Anolis sagrei: one gene and its partner. The protein of the gene in region 1 purifies or fractionates together with the protein of each later gene. This does not show direct contact. Links are inferred from orthologs where the notes say so. Each region holds a gene or a part of one and is shown in the gene's direction. Other genes may lie near its edges. The genes, in order: PPP1R7 and UBXN2A.

Evidence for each region.
Region 2: the proteins of PPP1R7 (region 1) and UBXN2A purify together in Homo sapiens (affinity purification with mass spectrometry; 3 studies listed by BioGRID and IntAct, counting the BioPlex papers as one, with this or other methods). This does not show direct contact. The link is inferred for Anolis sagrei from reciprocal best matches to the Homo sapiens genes PPP1R7 and UBXN2A.

The regions. Positions count from the first base shown.
Region 1 is NC_090023.1:227,043,464-227,051,713, reverse strand, and holds the start of PPP1R7 (protein phosphatase 1 regulatory subunit 7), read left to right. Parts: upstream 1-5,188; coding exon 5,189-5,396; intron 5,397-8,250. UniProt on the Homo sapiens protein: Regulatory subunit of protein phosphatase 1.
Region 2 is NC_090021.1:139,271,749-139,280,077, forward strand, and holds the start of UBXN2A (UBX domain-containing protein 2A), read left to right. Parts: upstream 1-4,908; 5' UTR 4,909-4,985; intron 4,986-8,329. UniProt on the Homo sapiens protein: Acts to repress the ubiquitination and subsequent endoplasmic reticulum-associated degradation of CHRNA3 by the STUB1-VCP-UBXN2A complex in cortical neurons.

The DNA.
Region 1 (8,250 bases):
TGATTACGGAAATTTGTCACAGATGATAAAATACGGTAGTAAATATGGTTTAAATATTTTTTTATTATTAGCAAACTAATATTTAAAATGACACAATGCATGTTATTATATATTTCACATAAAAGTTTAAACATTCAAGCAAACAAAGATCCAATTTTAAAAATATATCACTCCTAAACTGGTATCTCTGCTTTTTTCCAAAGAGGCAGAATATATAAGAAAATAACATTCAATCTCGAGAAGCAGGGCTTTCTTCTCATTATTATTATTATTATTATTATTATTATTATTACAGGCTTGTAAAATTTTTAAAAAGGGAATTAGTCAAAAGCAGTATGACTTTGGGCACATCTACTCTGCAGAATTAATGCCATTTGGCACCAATTTAACTGCCATGGATCAATACTATGGAGTCCTGGGAATTGTAATTTGGTACCATCCTACTTTGGAGAAGGAAAACATATTTTATAAAACGACAGCTCTCATGATTCTGTAGTACTGATCCATAGCAGTTAAAATGTGGCCAAACTGCATTAAACCTACAGTGCAAGCACATCCTGAGTGTATAGAGTATGCATACCAATGCATCCATATTCAATGGCAGAATGCCACTATTGTTTCCATCACTGAGAGTAGGATAGCCAAGAAAAGCCTTCATTCTGTCTCCCTTTTTTTGGAAGCAGCTCATTTTTAATCTGACTCTTTCTTAGGCCCTTTTCACACAGTTGCATAAAATCCCACATTATCTGCCTTGAACTGGAATATATGGCAGTGTGGACTCAGATAACCCAGTTCAAAGCAGATATTGTGGGATTTTCTGTCTTGATATCCTGGGTTATATGCCTTCATGGAAGGGCCCTTATGCTTTTTAGACAGGCTTATCCATAAATGCATGAATGTAATATATAGTAGGCTCTCATTTAAACGGCACTCAAGCAAATGGCAAAATGATAATAAAATAAATAGAATTAATTATAAAAGCAAATAAAGGCAATTTATAACACAGTAAAAACAGTAAAATTGTGTTCTATTGAGTTTGTCTTTTATTTGCTTCTAATTACTGTATTTCAACATGAAGTCAATACAGAGTTTATGGCATTGGTATAGTATGGTGAGCCTTTTAAATATATAACTCTCAACCAACCAGAAACTATATTTATCCGGCATGGGTGCGTATTAACTGAGGGCACTTCCACACAGCCATATAACCCAGAATATCAAGACATAAAAAAATCCCACAATATCGGCTTTGAACTGGGTTATCTGGGTCCACACTGCCATATAACGTGTCCAGAGGAGGGCAACTAAAATGATCAAGGGTCTAGAGAACAAGCCCTATGAGGAGAGGTTTAAAGAGCTGGGCATGTTTAGCCTACAGAAGAGAAGGCTGAGAGGAGACATGATGAAGGCCATGTATCCATATGTGAGGAGAGGTCATAGGGAGGAGGGAGCACACTTGTTTTCTGCCGGCCTGGAGACTAGGACGCAGAACAATGGCTTCAAATGGATGTCGAGATATTGGGAATATAGATATTTATACATATATTGTATATACATTAGAAGCACTGAAGTATAGAAAAATCAGGTTCTCTCTGTATGAGGAAGCCAAGCTGACAGGACAGAGGAATGCTGAAGGAGATCTGTGTTGAAAGGGGAGGAGAAGGGGGGGTATGTTATCTATACACTACAAAGACTAATATAGCTTAGCACAGGCCATATCTTCTTACTTCTAAAAGTAAGGAGTTTCTCTCCCTCCCTCCTGACAGGTCAAAAGTAAGCCCCTGGTGGATCTATGTAAGCTGAATTCTAGTTATCTCTATTGCTGTAAGCTGCTTTAGAAAAAAAATATAGAGACATGCCCCTTGCATGTAGGAAGATATAATTTTATATGTCTATGATGCAAAAGTGACATAGTGATGATTTTATGTATGTAGAAGCATGTTTCTTTGTTTACCTGCATTTGAAGATGTATATAAGGTAAAGTCAATCCTTTATTGGGGCTCTAGTTGGCTTTTGGACGTGATTCCACGCCAGGGTCTCAGCTGAAAATAAACATACCTTTTCCGCCTCAAACAAAGGATCGCTCTTGGTATTATCTCTCCTATCAGCCATAACAAAACTACAGGAAAGGAGATTCCACCTGAACATTAGGAAGAACTTCCTGAGTGTGAGAGCTTTTCAGCAGTGGAACTCTCTGCCTTGGACTGTGATGGAAGCTCCTTCTTTGGAGGATTTTAAGCAGAGGCTGGATGGCCATCTGTCAGGGGTGCTTTGAATGTGATTTTCCTGCTTCTTGGCAGGAGGTTGGACTGGATGGGCCATGAGGTCTTTTCCAACTCTATAATTCTATATTCCAGTTCAAAGCAGATAATGTTACTAACAGAAGCGGCGCTCGGGGAGCATACTACTCCTCTGTTGTGCCAGCTCCACTGGCTGCCAGTTTGCTTTGGGCACAATTCAAAGTGCTGGCTTTAGCCTATAAAGCCCAACTTACCTGTCCAAATGCATCTCCTCCTATGAACCAACTAGGACGTTAAGATCATCTGGGGAGGCCCTGCTCTCGATCCTGCCTGCGTCACAAATACATTTGGCGGGGTGAGAGACAGGGCCTTCTCAGTGGTAGCCCCTCAGCTCTGGAACACCCTTCCAAAGGACATCAGATCAGACCCCTCGCTTTTAACATTCCGGAGGAAAGTTAAGACCTGGCTGTTTGAGCAAGTGTTTGGAAATCTTTAAGGCAGTGTAATAGACATAGGAATATGGAACGATTGGATGACAAGACTGGACCTTGTTTTTAACTAGGAGACGGAAATGTTTTATTGATCTTATTATGATTATATATTATATAGAATCATAGAATCCTAGAGTTGGAAGAGACCTCATGGGTCATCCAGTCCAACCCCCTGCCAAAAAGCAGGAATATTGCATTCAAAGCATCCCTGACAGATGGCCATCCAGCCTGTTTAAAAGTTTCCAAAGAAGGAGCCTCCGCCACACTCCGGGGCAGAGAGTTCCACTGCTGAACGGCTCTCACAGTCAGGAAGTTCTTCCTCATGTTCAGATGGAATCTCCTTTCTTGTAGTTTGAAGCCATTGTTTCATGTCCAAGTCTCCAGGGAAGCAGAAAACAAGCTTGCTCCCTCCTCCCTGTGGCTTCTTCTCACATATTTATACATGGCTATCATGTATCCTCTCAGCCTTCTCTTCTTCAGGCTAAACATGCCCAGCTCCTTAAGCCGCTCCTCATAGGGCTTGTTCTCCAGACCTTTTATCATTTTAGTCACCCTCCTCTGGACACATTCCAGCTTGTCAATATCTCTCTTGAATTGTGGTGCCCAGAATTGGACACAATATTCCAGGTGTGGTCTAACCAAGGCAGAATAGAGGGGTAGCATTACTTCCCTAGATCTAGACCAGGGGTCCTCAAACTAAGTCCCAGGGGCCGAATGCGGCACTCCAAGGTCATTTACCCGGCCCTCGCTTAGGGTCAACCTAAGTCTGTAATGATTTGAAAGCACACAACAACAACAATCCTATCTCATCAGCCAAAAGCAGGCCCACACTTCCCATTGAAATACTAATAAATTTGTATTTGTTAAAATTGTTCTTCATTTTAATTATTGTATTGTTTTTAAGGTTTTTTTGCATTACAAATAAGATATGTGCAGTGTGCATAGGAATTCATTCATTTTTTTCTAAATTATAATTCGGCCCTCCAACAGTTTGAAGGACTGTGACCTGGCCCTCTGTTTAAAAAGTTTGTGCACCCCTGATCTAGACACTATGCTCCTATTGATGTAGGCCAAAATCCCATTGGCTTTTTTTGCTGCCACATCACATTGTTGGCTCATGCTTAACTTGTTGTCCACGAGGATCAAGATCTTTTTAATATGTTAATGTTTTAAATGTTTTATGTTGTTTGGGCATTGAATTTTGCCTCTGTAAACCGCCATGAGTCGCCCACGGGCTGAGAAAGGCGGTATACAAATATAGTAAATAAATAAACAAACAAACAACCAATAAATAAATGTGGGATTTTTTTTTCAGCTGTGTGGAAGGGGCCTGAGAATCTGCTCTATATGGCAATGAGAAACAACAGCATAAAAAAAAAACATTAACACCAGAACATGTCGCCCACAGGCTTTTTATTATTATTATTTCGTGTCAGAACAGCCAGTCAATTATATTACATTTCTAACAGAACAAAGCAAACAAACAGACATAATACAAAATTTGTGAGTTTGGTAGTTGATTAAATGTCCTTTGACCAGTATCTGGCCACTTGGAGTGCCTCTGATGTTGCCGCAAGGAGGTCCTCCATTGTGCATGTGGCAAGGCTCAGGTTGCATTTGCAGCAGGTGGTCAGTGGTTTGCTCCTCTCTGCACTCGCATGTCGAGGATTCCACTTTGTAGCCCCATTTCTGAAGGTTGGCTCTGCATCTCGTGGTGCCAGAGCGCAGTCTGTTCAGCGCCTTCCAAGTCGCTGAGTCCTCTGTGTGCCCAGGGGGGAGTCTCTCATTTGGTATCAGCCATTGGTTGAGGTTCTGGGTTTGAGCCTCCACTTTTGGACTCTCACTTGCTGAGGTATTCCAGCGAGTGTCTCTGTAGATCTTAGAAAACTATGTCTAGATTTAAGTCGTTGACGTGCTGGCTGAGAGAAGCCTCCTCGCAGGATTGCAAGACATCCGGGCGTCCCCTGGGCAACGTCTTTGTAGACGGCTGATTCTCTCACCACAGAAGCGACCAGCATGCCCACAGGCTGAGAAAGGCGGTATACAAATATAGTAAATAAACAAACAAACAAACAAATATAGGATCTTATTCAGCTGTGAGGAAGTGGCCTGAGAGTCTGCTCTGTATGGCAATGAGAAACAACAGAATAAAAAAACATTAACACCAGAACAGGAAAAAAATCCTAGATGTCCCCATCAATCGCACGTACAAACCATCCACCAAAATCCCAATATCTGGAGCAAGAAGCATCGCTAGTAGGAGCTGATGATCTTCCCATGGTATGTTACTAATGTAATCCCCCTCCTTTACTTTATATTACAGTACCATATAATATAATATATATTTTGGTGATTTAAACCCTTTCACGCTATGCAAGAGGCGACAATGCTTGGCTCCTTGCTACTGAATCCCACCACCAGCCTTGAAATCCCTGGGAAAGAAAAACTACATTTCCCATGGGGCGGCGGGGCTCCGCGCATGCGCCGGCACTCCCAAGGGAACCTCTGCGGCGAAGTGGCGCTCCCGATTGGCTGGAGCCCTCCCCGATGTGGCTTCCCATTGGCTGCCCGCGAAACTGGGGCCGATGCCGGAAGGAGGAGGAGGAGGGACTGCCAAGCGTTATGGCGGCGGCTGAGTCTGAGGGCGCGCAGGAGATGATGGAGGGTGAGTGCATGCTGCCTCTGTCCCAGGATCTCATCCCAGATTGTCTTCTTATTCCAGATTATCAGGCAGTGGAGACCCAGGGCCCTTCCACACAGCCATAGAACCCAGAATATCAACATTATCTGCTTTGAACTGGGTTATCTGAGTCCACACTGCCAGATAATACAGTTCAATGTGGATTTTGTACAGCTGTGTGGAAGAGGCCTCAGATGGGAGCGAGGGTGCATCTGTACTGTGAAATTAATGAGGGTTGACACCGCTTTAGCCACAATGGCTCAATGCTGTGGGATCATAGGAGTTTAGTAAGACCTTTAGGCTTCTCTGCCAAAGAGGGCCAGTGCCTCACTAAACTACAACTCCCAGCATCACATAGCATTGAGCCATGGCTGTTCTAGCGAGATTAACCCGCTTTAATTCTGCATTTTTGTGCTGGGGCAGCTCCTTTCATTGCCTGCCACCATCTCTACATCATGCATGGGCAAACTTGGGCCTTCTAGGTGTTTTGGACTCCAACTCCCACCATTCCTAACAGCCTCAGGTCTTTTCCTTTTCCCCCTCAGCTGCTTAAGCGGCTGAGGGGGAAAAGGAAAGGACCTGAGGCTGTTAGGAATGGTGGGAGTTGGAGTCCAAAACACCTGGAGGAAGGCCCAAGTTTGCCCATACCTGGTCTACACTGTAGAATCGATGCGTTTTGACATCACTTCAACTGTTAATGACTCAATTCTATGACAGCCTGGGAGCCGGAGTTTTGCAAGGGCTTAATTAATCCTTCTCTACTTAAAGAGAAATGCAGTAGTTCTCCTTGCATTAGGTAGATAGTACTCCTGTTGTTTCTTCTGCTGTTGCTGTTTCTGCATTTCGGGCGCATCCCCACTGCAGAATTAATGCAGTTTGAGACCACTTCAACTCTCCTGGCTCAATGCTATAGAATCCTAGGATTTCCAGGACCCTTCCACACAGCCCTATACCCCAGAATATCAAGGCAGGAAATCCCACATTATCTGAGTGTGGACTCGGATAACCTAGTTCAAAGCAGATATTGTGAGATTTTCTGGCTTGATATTCTGGGATATAGGGCTGTGTGGAAGGGCCCCCAGTTTGAGGAAACACCAGCACTCTTTTCAAAGAAGGATTACTAGGATGATGATAATATGTTGTGTATTTATATGTTTTCAGTAATTGCAATTGATCTATTTTAAGTTATGTTAATTTGACCTATGTTTTGTTTTAACTGTTACTGTTAAACTGTTTAAACCGTCCTGAGTTCCTTCCGGGAGAGGAGGTGGGATATAAATAAAACTTATTACTATTTGATACACAACAAGATTAGTACACAGCAAACATGATCACTATGCTGGCTTTTGTATTGGATCACACCTTGGACACTTCCCAAGTGTCTTGGACTATGTGATGTATCGGCAAATAATGCATGCAGATCTGAGTTGGGTGACCTTTTAGTTGGCAGATGGTGATTTTGTCAGCGCCAATTGTTTTTAAGTGCTGGTCAAGGTCTTTAGGCACTGCACCCAGTTTGTCAATCACCACTGGGACCACCGTTATTATGAATAATAAACATTATTATTATTATTATTATTTTACTGACACAAAAACAGTATGTCACAGCAAACGAGATATATATGCTGGATTTTGTATCACAAAATCACAAGTTGAACACTTCCCAAGCGTCTAGGACTGTGTGATGTATTTTCGAATGTTGCGTGCAGATTTAAGTAAAGTGGTCTTTTGCAATTGACAGATTGTGAATTTGTCAATGTTTATTATTTCCAAATGCCAGCTGAGATCTTTTGGCACAGCACCCAGTGTGCCGATAACCACTGGGACCACCTGTACTGGTTTATGCCAGAGCCTTTGCACTTTGATTTTGAGGTCTTGATAATGGCTTATTATTATTATTATTATTATTATTATTATTATCCTTCTCTGTGAAGGAGTGTTGGTGCTTTCCCAAACTAGAATACTTGTTGTTGTTGTAATTGTTGTTGTTGTTATTTCTTACCTGCTGTAATGGCAGGTTACAGCACAGATAAGAACACACAACCATTACGTAAAATACATATATTGAAACATAGTTCAATGAAATACATAGGAGCCCCCGGTGGCGCACTGGGTTAAAGCCCTGTGCCAGCAGGACTGAAGACCGACAGGTCGCAGGTTCGAATCCTGGGACAGGTGGATGAGCTCCCTCTATCAGCTCCAGCTCCTCATGCGGGGACATGAGAGAAGCCTCCCACAAGGATGATAAAACATCAAAAATCATCCGGGCGTCCCCTGGGCAACGTCCTTGCAGACGGCCAATTCTCTCACAACAGGATGCTCCTGACACGACAAAAAAAGAAAGAAAAAGAAATACATATCTTAAAATACACAGAACAAAGATTAAAATATAGCGAACACAAGATGCGAGTTAAAAAATTAATGACTGCATAAAACTACAAATCGCATGATTCCATACCATTGAGATGAGGCTGCTAAAGAGCAGCCAGACTGCATTAATTCTCCAGTGTAGGTGCACCTGGGGAAGATTTTTAGGAAGAAGCTGCATTTGACAGCTTCGCCCGAAGTCACACAATTCACTGCCTCCTAGAATGTCAACTTTAGCAGCTACTGACTCATAGCTAAGGCAACTCCTACCCATCTTTTATAGTCCTTTGCTGATTCTTCTTTATTTCCCATGAGTTGCTTCCCAAATTGAACCCTCTACCAGGCATGGGAAAACTTCAGCCCTCCCGGAGTTTTGGACTTCAAATCCCACATTTCCTAACAGCCGACTGTTAGGAATTGTGGGAGTTGAAGTCCAAGACACCTGGAGGACCTAAGTTTGCCCATGCCTGGG
Region 2 (8,329 bases), on another chromosome or scaffold:
CTGAGATTGTAGTTTGATGAGGCCCCAACAGTCTTTGACAGAGAAGGCTAAAGACCTTGTAACATGACAACTCCCATGATTACATAGTATTGAACCATTTGGTTCCAAAATGCAGGAATTCTGCAGTTGATCTTCCCTTGGTCATCCAGCATGGTTCTGTGGTTGACTTCTGCTGGGTGCTGACCAGTACATGACCCCCAACGGCTTAATCCATAGATTAACTGGAACGCGCAAGCCCGATCACCATGACAGGGTGATGGTCCTGGTGAAGAGGTACTAGAGGGCATGTTATTGAAACCTGAGACCCCCAAAAGACCCCAAAACCCATGGCCAAGAAAGATGTCATGAGGGGTCCAACTGGCTGACATCTCAGGATTAACTTTCCCCCAAAAAATGCAGCCCATCTGACATCCAAAGACAAGCTTTGACCCAAGTACACAGTTACACAAGCACCAACCCTGGGGAACCCTGGCCTAATCCCATTATCTCTCCAGGCAGTTGGCATAATCACCCAGGGGCCATCCTTCCTGGCCAATAATAAAGCCTTCCACTCAAAAAGGAATTAATCCCTGACCAGTTGGAAAAGTCATTGAGGCCCCTTCTACTCTGCCTTTTAAAATCCAGATTATCCGCTTTGAACTGGATTATATAGCAGTGTAGACTCAAATAATCCAGTTCAAAGCAGAAAATGTGGATTTCTGATTTGATAATCTGGATTATATGGCAGTGTAGAAGATGCCTACATTGACTGTGGTGAGGCCCCTTCTATACTGACATATAAAATCCAGATTGGCAGCTACCTCTCCACCAAAGTCAACATCGACACCGAAATACAACACCGCTTGAGCTCTGCGAGTGCAACATTTTTCTGAATGAAGCAGAGAGTGTTTGAGGACCAGGACATCCGTAGGGATACCAAGGTGCTTGGTTATAAAGCTATTGTTTTCCCAACCCTGCTATATGCCTGCGAAACGTGGATTATCTATAGACGTCACATGCAACTCCTGGAATGATTCCATCAGCACTGCCTCTGAAAAATCCTGCAAATCTCTTGGGAAGACAGGTGGACAAATGTCATGCTGGAAGAAGCAAAGACCATCAGCATCGAAGCAATGGTCCTCCGCCACCAACTCCGCTGGATGTCCGGATGCCTGACCACCGTCTCCCAAAGCAGCTGCTCTACTCCGAACTCAAGAACGGAAAACGGAATGTTGGTGGACAGGAAAAGAGATTCAAAGATGGGCTTAAAACCAACCTTTAAAACTCTAGCATAGACACTGAGAACTGGGAAGCCCTGGCCCTTGAGGGCTCCAGCTGGAGGTCAGCTGTGACCAGCAGTGCTGCAGAATTTGAAGCGGCACGAATTGAGGGTGAAAGAGAGAAACGTGCCAAGAGGAAGGCACATCAAGCAACCCTGACCGAGACTGCCTTCCACCTGGAAACCAATGCCCTCACTGCGGGAGAAGATGCGGGGCAAGAATAGGGCTCCACAGTCACCTATGGATCCACAAGAATATTGATCCTAGATTACTATCCTACTCGGCCAACGAAGGATTGCCTAAGTAAATAAGTAAGTAATCAATCCAGTTCAAAGCAGACAATGTGGATTATTTGTTTTGATAATATGGATTATATGGTGGTGTAGAAGGGATCTGAGAATCTTCCATATTGCCCCATCTACACTGCCATATAAAATCCAGATAAAATCTGCTTTGAACTGGATTATATGGCAGGGTAGACTCATATAATCCAGTTCAAAGCAATGTGGATTATTTGATTTGATAATCCAGATTATATGGCAGTGTAGAAGGCGCCTGAGTTTCAGGGTTATCAATTGCTTTTCCGATTAAATACATACTCCAATAACCATTATTATTATTATTATTATTATTATTATTATTATTATTATTATTATTTATATCCTCCCTTAAAATTTATAGGTGTTTTTACCTCACCTTTCCTCCTTTGCAGGGCTAAAACAGAATGAACTCTAAGAATAATATTAACATTTCATACATGCAGTATTCAACCATTGCTGAAAAGCCATAAAGCACATGTTCATATATGAGTCATTGTGGGAAGGAAAATTCCGCTACTCTGCTAAATCCTTTCCTTATCGCTGTTGATCTCAGCGGAAATTTTGCAGTTAACCAAACACTGTACATTCATTCAGTGGCTCTCATGTCACTGTGATTTTCCAGGTACAATAAATGATGTCCAGAAAATAGCTTATAGGCTCAAAAGAGTTCCTACATTTTTCTTACTGTTGGCAATTTTTATCAAGTGTGGAATCAAATTCAGCATCTCCATACACCCTGTATAAAGAAAATGGTCATATATAACATTTAGGAGGCTGAACAAAAAATACTGTTTGCATTTTTTACCCCTGTTGTTTTTTTCAATGAATCCAAGGTAATGGGGCTTTCAAATAACACTGCAGCCCTCGCTGTATTGTGGACTATTTAACACAAATGCAGGTCTTTCCACTCTGTCCACCAAGGCCCCTTCTACACTGCCATATAATCCAAATAATCAAAGCAGATAATCCACATTATATCTGCTCTGAGCTGGTTTATCTGAGGCCCCTTCCAAAGAGCTGTATAAAATCCACACTGAACTGGATTATATGGCAGTATTGACTCGATAATCCAGTTTGAAATAGATATTGTAGGATTTTCTGCCTTGCTTGGTTGATTGATTATTGGTCGGGCTATGCCCGGGAAGCTGGCTGAGCCTGGGACTTTTGGATACTGTTACATTTTCAGGCTTGAGCTATGCAAATGCTTGCAGAGAAGCAGAGAGAGAGAGAGAATTCTGGAGTGTGCTCTTGCTTCTTAAACTGCTGGAGGAAAATTCTCCACATGAACAAATAAAGACCATTTTAAACCTCTCATTTAAGGACAGTATGTGAGTCGATGCAACTGATCACATTATTATAAATATGTTGTTCTGAATTACGAAGAGTAAACTGCTTGTTCTTTTGTTGATCACCTGTGTGGCATATGTGTGGACTGATGAAATGTGAACTACATGTGATTTATTTTACATTACGCCACAATATTCTGTGTTAGATGGCTGTGTGGAAGGGTCTGTTGGAGTACAGCCTGTGATTGTGTTTCAAGATCAAGGTGCTTTATATGTGGGAAATGATGTCAATGAGAGTCAAGATGGCGATGGTCTGGTCAATGATATTAATGCAGAGAATAACATAGTGACACTGGTTCAAAGTGTAGTTTCCCATGAGAATGTTCCTACGGGGTATAGGGATGATAGTTTACTCCCTGAATTGCTCCCGGAGAGTTCCCAGGATTTGGGGCTTGAAAACAACTTGGCAGCTGGAGAAACGAATGAGCAGGTAGACAGCCGCGTGAAAATTAGCCAAAACAGACAGCTTGGCCAAGGCTTTCGCCGTTCTGCCAGGCTTTGAGAGAGAAGGATGAGAGGCATTCAGGGAAAACAAAACCAATTTCTGAGTACTTAGAATGGCTTAACGAGGGGATATAATGTTCCAACCGTGGGAAATATAGTCAAATGAAGCATCATTTTCGAATCCTGCTAAGTTCTTGCTCTTGTCTTATGGAAGCCTTGCTTGGAAGATTAATGTTTAAGGATTTCTTGTTTATGGTTTGACTCTTTATCTCTTGTGATTAAATACTCGTGTTTCGGATCAATGTTTTCCTGGTTCTTTGGATTTTATTAGAGAAGTCTGGACTTTGTTTTGAACTTTGCTGAACCCTACCTTGGAATAATTTGTTCCTGCTTATCTTCCTACCTAATTGGATTTATCTATTCTCTTAAAGTGTTTTTTTTTACCTTGCTGCTTTTACTTATCTTCAATAAAAAGGATTGTTTTCCTACTCAACGTGTGGTGTTTTGAAGTCAGAGGGTTATTCCTGTTCTGTAGTGCAACAGGGCCCACAGACACCAGAGGAGTTTATTGGCTCATTCTAAGCCTCATCTTGGATCATAGGGAAGGCTGAGTGAAGGAAGATAGATGCTATTGAACTGTGGTGCTGGAGGAAAGTTGTGAGAGTGTCTTGGATCGCAAGAAGATCTAACCAGTCCATACTTCAGGAAATAAAGCCCGACTGCCCGTTGGAGGGAAGGATAGTAGAGGCAAAGTTGAAGTACTTTGGCCACATCTTGAGGAGACAGGAAAGCTTAGAGAAAACAATGATGCTGGGGAAAATGGAAGGAAAAAGGAAGAGGGGCCGAGCAAGGGCAATATGAATGGATGGCATCCTTGAAGTGACTGGACTGACCTTGAAGGAGCTGGGGGAGGTGACGGCCGACAGGGAGCTCTGGTGTGGGCTGGTCCATGAGGTCACAAAGAGTCGGAAACGACTGAACGAAAGAACAACAACATCTACACTGCCATATAAAATCCAGATTGCACGATTTTTGTTCCTAGGTTATAAATGTAATTTCTTAATTGGTTCCTAATTGGTTCTATCATAAAAACATGCGGAAAGTTCATTACACTGTGAAAACTTTAAGTACTTTTTGCTATAGTTTTTCAATGAGTATCTCACTGAGTCCTAACCAATTCAACCTAGTTTATGGCAACTACAAAAACAAAGTTTCTGGAGTAGAACAACTACTTTCAAAGTAAGTGCCACACAAATAAACAGGAAATAAGACTTTCAAACCAGGAACAGAACATTTTTTCCAATGTTGCTATCTATCTTAGGATGCGTCTACACCAGGCATGAGCAAACTGTGTTATGTACAACTAACTTGCATCTTTTTTGCTTATCTTTGGATGCTTCTACACCAGGCATGAGCAAATTGTGTTATTATGTAGCTAATTTGCATCTCAGGCGGGAAGGGCGATGAGTGGCAGGTGACGTGCCCGCTGGAGCCAATCCGCTCCTTCCCCGGCGCCCCGCCCCTTTTGTGGGCGGGAAGCCAAGCGCGCCTACCGGCAACGCAGTGCAATTGAGAGGCTGCCTCGCCGCTGGTGAAACTCTGGTGTTTTGGGGGTGGTAAGTCTGGATTTGGGGGAGACTCTTCGGATTTGGGAAGGAGCCGGGGGTGGAGGGGAAACAGCCTTGGAGGGAGTCCCGATCTGCGGCCAAGTTGTTGGAAAGGGTTTAGGAAAGGGGCGTCCCTCGCCCCGCCATGGCGCAAGGCTGGAGCAGGGTCATCATCTTGGGCAAGGAGGGTTTGCAAACGATTCCAAAGATTTGGGGACATTTCTTGAAACTATCCTTATTGACTCCAAAGTCAGCCCCCACGCTGCCTTCTAGGTGCATCTTCTACACTCTAATGCAGTTTGACACCGCTTTAACTCCATACTATGGGAGCTGTAGTTCTGCAAGGCCCTTTTAGCCTTCCCTCCAAACAATAATCCCCAGGAGTCTGTAGCACTGAGGCTGGATCTACACTGCTATATAATTTAGAGTATCAAAGTATGCCATCCTGATTATATCTGCCTTGAACTGGATTATATGGCAGTGTAGACTCATATAATCCAGTTCAAAGCAGATCATGTGTGTTGTCTGCTTTGATAAACTGGATTTTATATGGCAGTGTAGACCTGTATCTCTTCCAAGGGTGGGATTCAGAAGAAGCTCTTTCATGGGGCCCTTCCACACAGCCATATATCCCATAATATCAAGAAAGTCCCACTATATCTGCTTTGAACTGAGTTATCTGAGTCCATACTGACATATATACCAGTTAAAAGCAAATAATTTGGTTCAGCTGTGTGGAAGAGGCCCCAATGTCAAGGGTAAACCTTTACCCATTATTGTTGTTGTTGTTGTTGTTGTTATTTGAAACACAACAAGATGAGTCCTCAGCAGACACTCTGCTGGCTGTTGAATTGGATCACACTTTGGACACTTCCCAAGTGTCTAGGATTTATTATTATTATTATTATTATTATTATTATTATTATTATTAGGCTGGATCTACACTGCCCAATATCCCAGGACCCTTCCACACAGCCATGTAACCCAGAACATCAACATAGAATAACCCACAATATCTGCTTTGAACTGGGTTATCTGAGTCCACATTGCCATATATTCCAGTTCAAAGCAGAAAATGTGGGATTTTATTCAGCTGTGTGGAAGGGGTCTGAATCTACCCTACCATATAATCCAGTTCAAAGCAGATCATCTGGATTTTTATGGCAGTTTAGACAGGGCTTAGCCATGGTAGTTAAAGTGGTGTCAAACTCCACCTTTGGGCAACCAAGGGCCCTTCCACACAGTCCTATATTCCAGAATATCAAGGTGGAAAATCCCACATTATTTGAGTGTGGACTGAGATAACCAAGTCCAAAGCAGATATAGTGGGATTTTCCACCTTGATATTCTGGGATATAGGGCTGTGTGGAAATACCCAGACTGAAGCTATTCTCTTCTGCAGTTGTTTTGATCCCAATGCTGTTGGCCTCCTGCAGTGATTCCCAGCCTTTAGGCCTGCAAGGTTTGGGACTTCAACTCCCAGAATCCCCAGCCAGCTTGTTCAGGGATCCTGGGAGTTGAAGTCCAAGCACTGGGAGGACCAGAGTTTTAGGAAACACAGGCATATGGTCAGACTGAGGTCCCTTCTATGCTGCTTTATAATCCAGACTATCAGAGCAGACAATCCACATCTGCTTTGAACTGGATTATATGAGTTTACACTGCCATCCAATCCAGTTCAGAGCAGATAATCTGAATTCTATATGGGCTCAAATTCCATCAAAGTTCAAAGGGGATTCTGATTCTGCCTGAAACTGGCTTTCCATTGTAAGGGAGCAGATCCCATCTGATCTTGGAACATAAGATGGCTTATCCCTGGTTAAGGCTTGGATGGGAGATGGGCAACGAATACCAGGCTGTCTTTCAGAGGAAGGAGTTGCCAACACCATATCTTAGTATTCCTTGTCTAAGGCCCCTTCTACACAGCTGAATAAAATCCCACATTACCTGCTTTGAACAGGAATATATTGCAGTGTGGATTCAGGGTCCACACGGCCCTATACCCCAGAATATCAAGGCAGAAAATCCCATAATATCTGCTTTGAACTGGGTTATCTGAGTCCACACTCAGATAATATGAGATTTCCTGCCTTGATATTCTGGAATATAGTGCTGTGTGGAAGGGCCCTCAGATAAACCAGTTCAAAGCAGATATTGTGGATTATCTGCTTTGATAATCTGGATTATATGTCAGTATAGAAGGGCCCCAAATAAAACCCTGTTAAATTAATGGGGCCGCCATAAGTCGCACCATCCTTCTCGCCTGTTGAATAATGGCATCACTTAAACCAAAAGCAGTCTGACCCAAAGCCTGTTTGCTTATAAACAGACCCCCAGTAGAGCAGGGATCGATTAGTCTTGGGAAGAAGTGACCTCAATGTGATTAATGGTCTGGTAATTATTATTAAGCCCTTATCAACCTCACAGTGAGACAAAAAACCGCACAGTGAGGCACAGTGATCTGTTGGTCGATGGCACTCACAATACTAGTTCTGTGGAATTCAGTGTTTCTGTCAAATGGGCATGGCATTTGTTGTTGTTTTGTGTTCAGTGGCAACACTATCAAGGGGACTTCTTGGCAAAATGTGTGACCTTTGCCTTCCCCTGAGGCTGAGAGAGTGTGACTTGCTCAAGGTCACCAGTGGGTTTCCATAGCCAAGTTTCCAGAGTCATAGTCCAACACTCATTTTTGGATCAGTTTTAAGGGATGGAATTAAGATTGAAGAACATACACTCGCACTGTGTATGTGTATGAGTGTGCGTGTCATTGTTGAATTCAACTTTGTGGTCTCCAAATAGGTCAGGAAATCTGTTTCTTCTGAGGACTGTGCTGATTGTATGTTTTGATCTTGGCTCTTATATAATATAATAGCAATGCTCGGGTTGTTTCAAAAAGGCATTGTTCGTTTTTGAATGTTAGGTAATATCACTTAGGTAAGTTTTAATGCTATTAGAAAAAAGCAAATCTTTGCTTTTTTAAAAATGAATGCTGTCATTCGAAAATGCATAAGGAGGTGGGTGAACTACAATTCCCAAAATCATGGATCAATCCTCCCTAAACTTTGCCAGTATTCACAGTTGGCCATGTTGGGTCTGTGTGCCAAATTTGGTCCAGATCCGTCGTCGTCTGGGTTCAGTGTTCTCTGGATAAGGGTGAACTACAACTCCCATATTCCAAAGTCAACTCTCTCTGAACCCTTTGGTCTCACAGGCGGCTTCTACACAGCCATATAAAATCCAGATTATCCACTCTGAACTGGATTATATGATAGTGTAGACTCATATAATCCAGTCCAAAGCAGATAATGTGGATTATACGGTAATGTAGATCCAGCCTCATTAAAGAGATGGTT